3 linked regions of the Cricetulus griseus genome follow. The protein of the gene in region 1 binds, or shares a complex with, the protein of each later gene. Links are inferred from orthologs where the notes say so. Each region holds a gene or a part of one and is shown in the gene's direction. Other genes may lie near its edges.

Region 1 (3,649 bases):
TTTTAGATTAAAATAATTTGATTTAAATATTATATGGAATTTTCAGTAGTCTCCTTGGGCTACAACAGTCTGGGGAGAAATGAGAATTTCTTTCTTTCAGTTGTGGAGGCTAGGAAGTCCAAGTCATAGTGTCTGACCGCCCCACTTCCTGCCTTGAAGAGCTCTGGGGATGAAACAGCCAGGTCTGATGCCCTGATCTTTGCTTTTAAGGCCATGAACCCTATTGGACTAGAATGGGAACACAACCCTTATGACTTCTTCTCAGCTTTTCATGTTTATAACGATCACCACCTTGTCAGAGCCACAAATACAGCTGCACCAGGGATTAAGACCAATATAAAGCTTTTGAGGAACCAAGCTTCCACACTGGAGCTTACTGTATATTATGTACTTACTGTCCACAAAAGAATGCTATAGCACAAAGCCATGCATGATTGACAGTCATAAGTGAGCAGAAGGAAGAGCTAAAAATATTAGGGAAAAGATATATTAATCAAAAATGGATACATAATTTCTTATTTAAATTTTTTATTAGATTTATTTGTTTTATGTGTGAATGTTTTGTTTGAATGTTTTAAGTTTACCATGTGCTGCTTGCTGACAGCCAAGGTCAAAAGAGGGCATTGGAACCCTGGAACTGGAATTATTGATGGTTGTGAAGTACCATGTGGATTCTGGGAATTGAATCCAGGTTCTCTGCAAGATTAACAAGTGCTCTTAACTGCTGAGCCATTTCTCTAGTCTGGACTGTGACTTCTTGAGTACTAGCATAAACTTAAGAAGGAAAAGAGTTAATCTGTTTAAGAAATTAGGGACAATTATGGACTTAAATATGGTTCTTTGAGTGAATAACTGTCAGTGGTTCTAAAAACCAGGAAACTTTTGAAAACTTCATATTTATTCTAGTAGGAAAGAGTGTCTGGAGACTCCTTTCATCTTTTCCTGGGTCACTGTTATTTCTAATTATTTCAAAGTTTCTATCGAGGGTCCTGCTATGTTGCCTTGGTTAGAATTTCAGTATAGTACAGACTAGCCTTAAATTTGTGACTGTCTTTGTGCCTGAGCCGCCTGCGTGCTAGGATTGCTGGCATGTGCCACAGTTTCTCACAACAGCATGATCTTGATTGTTGAGAAAAACAGTGGAACTTCTTTTTAAACTTTGTCTCCAGACTATAGTCACCCTGGAAAGTAAGACACAGTATTTAAAAAAATCTCAGTTGTCACTGTTAATCACATCTCATAATTTTAGGACCTCTACTTTGTAGGAAATATCCATGTATCAGGATATTTATTTAATTTAATTTAATCCCATTGTTTATCCTAACTTCTCTGTTGGTGTTTCCTTTCTGAGATTTTTGCTTTGTTATTTTAAAATACTACAATAGGGTTACTGTTGTTGTGGTAAAATACCATGACCGAAAGCAACTAGGGGAGGACAGGGTTTATTTCACTCACTGTTTCACATAACAGCCTGTCATCAAAAGCAGTGAGGGTGGGAACTCAGGCAGGGCAGGAACCTGAAGGCAGGGGCTGATGCAGAGGCCATGGAGGGGTGCTGCTTACTGGCTTGCTCCTTGTTCAACTTGCTTTCTTGTGGAGCCCAGAACCACCAACCCAGGGATGGTACCACCCAACAGTGGGCTAGGCCCTCTACCATTAACCAGCAACCATGAAAATGCTTTACAGCCTGATCTGATGGAGGCATTTTCTTAATCAAAGTTCCCTCCTCTCAGATGACTTTAGTTTGTGTCAAACTGACATAGAACTGTCCAGGACACATGGTGTAGAAATGCCACACATTCAGGGGATTTAAACAACAGGAGTATTTTACTCTCATTCCTTTTGAAAGCTATCAGTCAGAGGTCAAGTTGTTTGGCTCTCTGGTTCCTGGTGCAATGGACTGAGTTCAACTCTTAAGAAGAATGTATTAAAGAAAAATAGCATCTAATGCTTGAAAAGCACTGATTACAGAGATGGGTGTATCATAGATGATCCCAGTGTAGGTCTGAGGGGAAATCCTAAGTAGCTCTCAGAACAAGGAAAGTACCCAAGGAACAGTGGTCCTGCACTGTTACAATCTGCCAAGTGAGACTCTTGCCATCCCTGAAGAGTCAACTTAGGGATTCTTAGGGCTTTTAAAAGCACAGTAAAATCACTAACACAACTTGATTAGGTCTCTGAATTTAAAAAAAAAAAAAAAAAAAAAAACAAGAAGAAAGCCACTGCTTCAAAACATGTGGATCCAGATTGGAAGGAGACTAGCTGGCGGCTTCACAGTGACTCAAAGATAGGTTTCTTTCGTAGGGAAATGATATTAGACCCTGAGTCCCTCTGAGTCCCTTCCTCTGTGTGTATGTAGACTTCCATAAACAGCTATGTGGCTGAATATATTTAGAAGATACAAGTTGCTGAATTCAGGTTGAAGAAGATTGAACAGATAGTAAATTTGGATTTGATTGTACTTCAAAATCAGTTAAATAAAGCTTCAGCATTTTTTATTAGAAATTGTCTGAGCCTCACTAGTCTGCTGCATAGCTGATTGAATATGAAGGGTCTTGTGACTGAGAACAGTCACTAAATCTCTTTCATTCTTGCAGGATGAATTTCACTCCAGGTTGCGTTTTAATAGGAGAGGACTGGTTGCCATGGCAAATGCTGGTCCACATGATAATGGCAGCCAGTTTTTCTTTACCCTGGGTCGAGCAGATGAACTTAACAATAAGCACACCATCTTTGGAAAGGTTAGTGTCCATTTGTTAAGTGTGTAGTTCGGTTTTGGTTTTATGATACTCTTTAAGTTTCTATGGTACATCCACAATTAACACATAATGTCTGTCTTCAAAAATGTTATGCTGTTTTACTTACTGTTTTCGAAAATGATGGAGTATGTTCCTATTATGCTGAACTTTAAAGGACTACCTGAACTTTGGGTACTTTAAGCCAGTCATTTGTCGTCTACACATATTCTTTGTCACAGTGGTGGCATTAGCTACTTAAGGCCACTTAGCCAGTGTTGTTTGTACTTTTAAAAAGATACTTAGCCAAAACTATTTTACAATTTAAAGTTACCAATGGTAAATCCCCTTAAATTTAAAGTGGAAGTTGTATTAGTAATTAAAACTTTACTGGAATCATTACTTTGAACAGTTATCTATTTAATCCTGCTGACATTTAACAACAAATGAAAACATGATCTTCCGATAGAATTTTCAACAGTTCTCTTTAGAGAGGGATCCTGAAGGTGTCTCTCCCTCATCCTCTTCCCTTCTCATCTGAATATCCCTGCATTTAATGCTTAGACATAGTAGATATTAATAGCTTTTTAGCCCCCTCTGCTGGTTCAGTAAGAATTGCTTCCCTATGTCCTAGGCAAAAGTGAGTTTTGACTATAAAAGGATGGAAACAATTCAGTACAGTTGGACAACTGAACCTTTGAATTTGAGTCATACCCAAACTGTAAGATGTATCATTGTTGCTTACCTCTTAAGGACAGGAGTTAGGAAATATGTACTGCCATGTTCTTTGATGCATTCCTAATGCAGGTTTTTCTGGCAATCATGGATTTTTTCCTACTTGTAACTTTTTTTTTTTTTTTTTATTAGCAAGATGAGACTTGAGTTCCCATCCTGTACTGTGTTTTACACTCATT
Region 2 (3,749 bases), on another chromosome or scaffold:
AGAGACCACAATATAATTAATATAACATCAGGGAAGGCCGCTTAGCAGACCACCCAGTTTCTCCTGGGCACTAAATCTCTCCTGAATGGTCACCACACCACAATCCTTGGAAGACTCACCGTCACCCCGTATTTGAGTGCTAGTCCAGCCAGGGTGTCTCCAGGCTCCAACTGATGCTCCAAGCGTCTTTCCCTCACCGGGGAGCACGATGATTGTACCAGGCTTCCATAAGAACGAGCACGGCTCCCATGCAGCAGCCCTGACCCCCCAAGTGGGGGCTGTCTAGAGGGAGAAGCCATCTCAAGATGCCAAGATCTAGGGTCACAACTGAGGAAAGCTAAGTGACCAACAGTGAGGGCCGAACCCCAGGAATGGATAGATATTCTAGGAATTCCTTCTCACTTCTCTCTTTAGTGTCCCCGCTCTCGAGAGACTACATCAATGCTCCTCTTGCTGCTGCTTACCGAGCTTGGGGTCACAGTCCGTACCCTAAGAAGGCTGCCAGGCCGGTTACATTTCTCCTTCCTCAAGACCCTTGCCCATAAATATCTTCCCTGAGTGGTCGGTCGCCGACCCCTTCGACTTTCGACGCCCTCTCCCCAACTCCTTGCAAGCCTGATCTCTGACCTTTGAACCCTAGACACCCTCATCAACACTCTCCCCTCAGTGTGTCCCCACGTCCCGCAGCCGGGCCGCCGGGAGCCCCCACATCCTCTCTGCTCCAAATCAGGCCCACCCCAGGTAGATCGTGGCTGTGGACGGTGAGCCTGGGGACTGAGAGAGTTTGCAGTACACGGTCCACTGAGATCCCCGAAGCCTCGCTCCACGCCAGGAGGGTCCCACCCTGAAACTCCGGCTCCACGTACAGGTTCTTGGTCTCCAAACACCTGGGTCCTTCGCGATGTGAGTGCCTGTACTCAGGTGAGCGGTGAGGTCTTTTAAAAACAACAAAAAAAAGAAAATAACTAAAAGACTTCATTTCCCAAAAGGCAAAGCGTTCTCAGGGCATCATAGGAAATGCAGGCACCCTCAGGGCTCTGGAGGCGGGTCTTCCGGCTCGCGCGGTGCATGCGTGGAAACGCATCCCCGGAAGTAAAGACTTAATCAGAAAAAGACCGGAAGCAGGGAAGGCGATAACCTACTCTTCCTACGGTGGCCCGAAGGAGAGGCAAAGTAGGCGTAGGAGAATTTATTATTTCTAAGACTCACAGTCGTGATGTCTTTCAAGAGGGAAGGTGACGACTGGAGTCAGCTCAATGTGCTCAAAGTAAGCCCTAGTGAGAGTCTACCCACGAGCAGTGGTGGCGCACGCTTTGAATCCCAGCACTTGCGAGGCAAAAGCCGGTGTGTCCGTGTTGCGTTTGAGGTTCGAGGCCAGCCTGGTCCACACAGCCAGCTCTAGAACAGTCAAGGCTACACGAAGAAACCCTGTCTCGAAAAATCAAAGAACTAGAGAGAGGGAGAGCCCAGCTTCAGTCGCGCTTTGCATTGTTTTGTTGCTCTGGCGACATCTGTGGGAGGGGGTTTCGGGGGCCAGAACTGAGTGATGCCTCCTCCTTCTTACCCTATGGTCTGCTCCATTTGACTCTTTATCCCTGTTATTTCTTTTCATCCATCCCTCATATTCGTTTCTCCTGTCCTGCTCTCTGCAGAAACGAAGAGTTGGAGACTTGCTGGCCAGTTACATCCCAGAGGATGAGGCGCTAATGCTGCGGGATGGACGGTGAGAGCAGAGTGGATCAAGCCTGGGGATTTGCTATCAGAGGCTCAACAGACTTTGGTTTCTAAGGAGATCAGGAGTGTAATAGATCCTTTGGTTGGAAGTGAAGATTGGAAGAGGTGGCGATCGGGAGACCTGGGCGTTGGTGGAGTGCTTTGACAGGCATAGCCCCTAAGTAGGAACACCCCAACCACCGGCTCTCCAACACATACGGGTTTGCCATTCACTTCTCTTTTCCCTAGCTTTGCTTGCGCTATCTGCCCCCATCGACCAGTCCTGGACACGCTGGCCATGCTGACTGCCCACCGTGCAGGCAAGAAGCACCTATCCAGTAAGTACAGGAGAAGGCGGGGAGTGGAGGAATGATAGAGAATACACTCTGAACATTTTGTCAGTCTACTTGATGTTGTGCTTGCTTTCCTTTTCAGGTTTGAAGCTCTTCTATGGCAAAAAGCAATCAGGCAAGAAAACAGAGCAAAAACCAAGACAGCAAAATGAATTGAAGACAGAAAGCAAAGCCGAGGTGAGAGATCTGGTCAGGTGTTGTTCAGGCAGGGCTGTACTGCATGCAACAGGACTTTTGCCTAACATCTCCAACTGTGTCTTCTTCTCTTGATAACCAGGCACCTTTGCTAACCCAGACTCGATTAATCACCCAGAGTGCTCTGCACAGAGCTCCTCACTATAGCAGTTGCTGCCGGAGGAAGCACAGGTCTGTAGAGGGGGAAATCCGGAAGTGGGAAAGGGTAGAAGGAAATAGATGGTTCTGAAGTTACTGCTCTCCAAACTGTACTCTGAGAAACACTAATCTTGTGGAGATGTTGTTTAAAGAAAAATGATAGTTTGTGGTTTGTTTTGTTTTTGTTTTTTGTTTTGGTTTTTCAAGACAAGAGTTTCTCTCTGTAGCTTTGGAGCCTATCCTGGCACTTGCTCTGGTGACCAGGCTGGCCTCGAACTCACAGAGATCCCCCTGCCTCTGCCTCCTGAGTACTGCAATTAAAGGCGTGGGACACCATCGCCTGGTGATAGTTTGTGATTTTAAAATAAATTTTAGCCGGGTGTTGGTGGCTCACACTTTAATCCCAGCACTCCGGAGACAAGGCAAGTAGATCTCTGATCTATAGAGTGAGTTCCAGGACAGCCAAGTCTACACCAAACAAACAAAAACCCTGCCTTGAAAAACAAAATAATGCACACACACACAAAAAAATAGTAACATTATTGCTGGATGGTGGCACACGCCTTTAATCCTGGCACTCCAGAAGCAAGGCCAGTGGGTCTCTGAGTTCCAGGCCAGCCGGGGCTACAGAGGAAAAAAAAAAAAAAGTAACATAATCTGGGCATAGTGGTACACTTTTTTGTTTGTTATTGAGAGGGGATCTCCCTTTGTAGCCCTGGCTGTCCTGGAACCCTGCTATTTAGACCAGGGTGGCCTCAAACTTACAGAGATCTGCCTTTCTCTGCCCCTTAAGTGCTGCAGGTACTAAAAGTGTGTACCACCATACCTGGTTATGGAAAATCTTGAGGCAAAAGCGTAGAACTATTAAGCTGGCTTTTCTCAAGTTCCTAATTCCAAAATCTTTCATATGTAAAATATTTAAGATCTTATGGAACTCAAGCTGGGTGTGGTGGTATACACTTTTAATCCCAGTACTTAGGAGGCAGAGGCAAGTGGATCTCTGTAAATTTAAGGACAGCCTCATCTACCTAGTAAATTCCAGGTCCATCATATGTACTCTATCTCCAAAAAAGCAAACAAAAAAACCTCAGGAACTAGCCAGGCAGTGGTGGCTCACGCCTTTAGTCCCAGCACTCTGGGAGGCAGAGGTAGGCAGATCTCTGTGAGTTCTAAACCAGCCTGATCTACAAGAGCTAGTTCCAACAGCCTCCAAAGCCACAGAGAAACCTTGTCTCAAAAAACCGAGGAAAAGAAAAAAAAAAAAAACAAAAAACTCAGGAACTCAGTTTAGGAAACACTGCTCTTCAGGCTTGGGAGGCACGGGGAAGCTGCTACTTTCCTTCTGTGCAT
Region 3 (3,749 bases), on another chromosome or scaffold:
ATTAAAAAGAAACAGTATTATGCAAATGTTAATCTCATGTTTTTGATAATTTATAATATTGTTATGGAAAATCCCCAGGGTCATTTAGGTAAAAAAAAAATATATATGGGGGCTGGATGTGATGGCACATTCCTTTAATTTCTGCACTTAGGAGGCAGAAGCAGGCAAATGTCGGTGGGTTCTAGGCCACTCATTGCTTATAATGAGACCCTGTCTAAAAAGGGGAGAGGGAGGAATTTCAAAGAATATATATTCTGACCCTCCCAACCACCACCTGTTGTTAAGGCTGAACTTGCAACAACAGTCCTGCTCTCACCAAGAAAGAGAGAGAGGGAGAGAGAGGGTGGAAGGGAGGGAGGGAGGGAGGGATGGAAAGAGAGAGAGAGAGAGAGAGAGAGAGAGAGAGAGAGAGAGAGAGAGAGAGAGAAAGAAAGAAAGAAAGAAAGAAAGAAAGAAAGAAAGAAAGAAAGAAAGAAAGAAAGAGCTAGCACCCAGGCAAAGGGGTCCCAGCCTGGCAGTTCCCTGTCCTTTATGCCGAAGACCAGAAGACATTGCCTCATCCAAAAGCTCAGAAAACTGCAACATAGAAAGTATTCCAGGGCTGGAGAGATGGCTCAGAGGTGAAGAGCACCGGCTCCTCCTCCAGAGAACCCAGGTTCAATGCCCAGCATCCACATGGCAGCTCATATAGAGTTTGTCTTAGACTTGTGACAATTCCTCCTGCTTTGTAATTCCAGTTTCAAGAGCTCCTACACCCTCTCACAGACATACATGCAGGCAGAACACCAATGCACACAAAATAAAAATAAGTAAGCCGGGCGTGGTAGTGAACACTTTAAATTCCAGCCCGGCAGAGGCAGAGGCAGAGGCATTTTTTAAAGATTTATTTATTTATTGTGCATACAACATTCTGCTTCCATGTAGATATGCACACTAGAAGAGGGCACTAGACCTCATAATGGATGGTTGTGAGCCACCATGTGGTTGCTGGGAATTGAACTCAGGACCTCTGGAAGAACAGTCAGTGCTCTTAACCTCTGAACCATCTCTCCAGCCCGATTTTGTGTATATAAGCATTTTGCCTGCATTTATTTATGTGTGTCACCTGCGGAGTTCGGAAGACAGTGTCGGATCCCCTAGACCTGCATTACAAATGGTTGAAAACCTAGGGAGAATCAATCTGCCACCACGGTTATATCACTGAGAACTACATTTCCCAGAATGCGCGGCGCGGCGCGTTCCTATGACATTTCAAACCGTTTACCAGCGTGATCGGTTTTTCCCACGGCTTCAAGACCTGTCCTTGAGGCATTGCGTCTCGGCCGGCCCCTAGCGAATTGAGCTTAAACTAAACTTCCCAGCAAGCAGTGCGCTAGCCTGGGACTCGGGACAAGATGGCGGACCCAAACAGTGTGCCGCGGGCTGCCCCTTCAACGGCCCCGATTTCTTTCGGTTTCACTCGCACGTCTGCCCGGAGGCGACTGACAGACCCCAGAGATGGCACAGGACGGGCCTCTGAGGAGAAAGATTTCTTAACGACCGTGGAAGGAAGGGAGCTACAGAGGTGAAACGCTGGGTCTTTCACGTTTTGGAAATCGGTGCGGTGGGCGGAGGGCAGAATACGAGTTGTTTGCCCTGATGACAGTGATTTAGAAGGCCTCAAACACGGCCTCAAGAAGTTTATGGAGGCATCCGGGAGTGGTGGCAAATGTTTATTAATGTCAGGACCCGGGAGGTTGGCACCGGAGGATCAAGAGTTGAACGCTAGCCTGGGCTGTATGAGAGCCTATATTTAAAAAGAGAGAAAAATAATTAAAATTTAATTTATTATTAAATTTAATAATTTAAGGGCAAGGAGGAGGTTTGTTAGAGAGGTGGGTGAAAATGGCGCCTGATAACCAAAGGTATATATTCCTCAGAGAAAAAGTCATTGGGACTTGAGGACATGTGCGTTTTGAGAAAGGAAAAGGAGGGAGAATGACAAGACTTTTAGTGTCTCAACTGAAATAGTGGAAGCTTCTCCGATTTGGAGAATGCGGCAAATACAGGTTTGGGGAGGCCATCAGCAGCATAATTAAGAAACTGATCTGAAAGACCTAAGGGAGGGACTAATGGAAGACAGCTGTCCGGAAGGCTGTTTGCTAGCCTGAAACTGGGGAGAATCTCGACCGAAGATGGTGATTTGTAAGTCATTGTGGTTGAGAGTCCAGGAATGATTTCCATAAGACACATTTAAAGCTGAGGACACGAGGAGAGGTGATGCTTGCTTGTAATTTCAGCACTAAAAGGTTGCACCAAGAGGACAGAGTTTATAAGACCAGACTGGGCTACATAGTGAGATAACTGTTTCGAAAAGAAATGGGAGGACCTGCGGAAAAATAACTTGTGGAACATGGTCCTTCGGCTGGGTGTAGATATCTCCACTTTCTAACACTTGTACTTTCCTAACCTTTTCTCTCTGTCCCCACATCAGTGTGAACCCTCCAGAAGCCCCCAAGGAACTAGTCATCCCATTGATCCAGAATGGCTCTCGGAGGCAACCACTGGCCAAGAGCCCTAAGACATCCTCAGAAACTAAGACTGTATTAATGTCAGATGGTGTGCTGTCCCAGGCTGTGAAGGAGCTCATTGAGGGTAAGTGAAACCTCCCCCTTTGCTCTGCCCCAGTACAGGTAGACAAGGAGGAAGTTGGAAGGATAGAGTATGGCCTCATTGATCCTCCCATTCTTCCTTAGAATCCAAGAAGTCCCTGGAGGAGAGGGAGAATGCAGGTGTTGACCCCACGCTCACTATTCCCATGATCCAGAAAGGATGCAATCCCAGTGGGGAAGGAACAGACAGCGAACCTCAGGCTGAGACAGTGAGCTGCCCCTTTGCCATCCTCCCCCATCATTGCCTCTACCCCGTCTGGCTAGCCTCCTTGCACATAGCAGGGAAACTGTGCATGTGTGTCCCAGAGCCTTGCCAACTAGCCTTTCTCCCTTCCATCCTTATTAGAAGCTTTAACAAATAGATAGCAGGCTGTCCCAAAAAGTACTTGAATTCTGGTATTATCTGATAGAGGTGGACAGCAGAGTGGATGGGAAATACAAATGCTATCAGAGTACACACTGTTGGGAGGCAGAGGCAGGCAGATCTCTGTGAGTTCGACAACAGCCTGGTCTACAGAGTGAGTTCCAGGACAGCCTCCAAAGCCACAGAGAAACTCTCAGAAAAAAAGAAAGAAAGAGTACACACTCTTTGGAACCACTTTTGCTTGTTTCCTCTTTTTTTTCCTTCTTTCCTTGTTCTTTTTAAACGTGTAGTATGTAAAGAACTCTAAGGAAACCAGTGTGACTGGATTGGAATGAATGAGGGGTCAGGCCATAGATGAAGGCAGAGGTGACCAGATCAAAAGGGCCTTCTGAGCCACGGGGAGGACTTTTTCTTTTAGTGTGAGTGAAATGAGAGCTATGGGAAAATTCTGAGCTGACAAGGGTTGTAACAGGATCCCCTCTGGCTGCTGTGACCCAAATATGACTAATAGTGAAGGTAAGGAGGGAAGCAAGTAGCCTAAGTTCAGGATAGAGGCGGTAAGGACACTCAGAAGAGTGGCAGGAATGAAGCCTGGAAGGTTAGGGTCTGGTGAGACAAGAAAGAGATATGTCTCAGTACATTTTTGCTTTGTTTGTTTTTGTTGTTGTTTTTTGAGACAGGGTTTCTCTGTGTAGTTTTTGGAGCCTATCCTGGCACGCGCTCTGGAGACCAGG

Evidence for each region.
Region 2: Cwc27 (region 1) and Scnm1 share a complex: the UniProt entries of both Homo sapiens proteins name them as parts of the minor spliceosome. The link is inferred for Cricetulus griseus from reciprocal best matches to the Homo sapiens genes CWC27 and SCNM1.
Region 3: Cwc27 (region 1) and Gpkow share a complex: the UniProt entries of both Homo sapiens proteins name them as parts of the minor spliceosome. The link is inferred for Cricetulus griseus from reciprocal best matches to the Homo sapiens genes CWC27 and GPKOW.

What each region holds. Positions count from the first base shown.
Region 1 is NC_048595.1:323,089,871-323,093,519, reverse strand, and holds part of Cwc27 (spliceosome-associated protein CWC27 homolog), read left to right. Parts: intron 1-2,597; coding exon 2,598-2,741; intron 2,742-3,649. UniProt on the Homo sapiens protein: As part of the spliceosome, plays a role in pre-mRNA splicing. Probable inactive PPIase with no peptidyl-prolyl cis-trans isomerase activity. As a component of the minor spliceosome, involved in the splicing of U12-type introns in pre-mRNAs.
Region 2 is NW_023276806.1:61,367,478-61,371,226, forward strand, and holds the start of Scnm1 (sodium channel modifier 1), read left to right. Parts: upstream 1-1,100; 5' UTR 1,101-1,216; coding exon 1,217-1,267; intron 1,268-1,652; coding exon 1,653-1,723; intron 1,724-1,962; coding exon 1,963-2,051; intron 2,052-2,148; coding exon 2,149-2,243; intron 2,244-2,343; coding exon 2,344-2,432; intron 2,433-3,749. Other genes in the region: Lysmd1 (lysM and putative peptidoglycan-binding domain-containing protein 1), read right to left, coding at 120-315, 867-979. UniProt on the Homo sapiens protein: As a component of the minor spliceosome, involved in the splicing of U12-type introns in pre-mRNAs. Plays a role in the regulation of primary cilia length and Hedgehog signaling.
Region 3 is NC_048604.1:114,159,054-114,162,802, forward strand, and holds the start of Gpkow (G-patch domain and KOW motifs-containing protein), read left to right. Parts: upstream 1-1,312; 5' UTR 1,313-1,394; coding exon 1,395-1,564; intron 1,565-2,473; coding exon 2,474-2,634; intron 2,635-2,735; coding exon 2,736-2,860; intron 2,861-3,749. UniProt on the Homo sapiens protein: RNA-binding protein involved in pre-mRNA splicing. As a component of the minor spliceosome, involved in the splicing of U12-type introns in pre-mRNAs.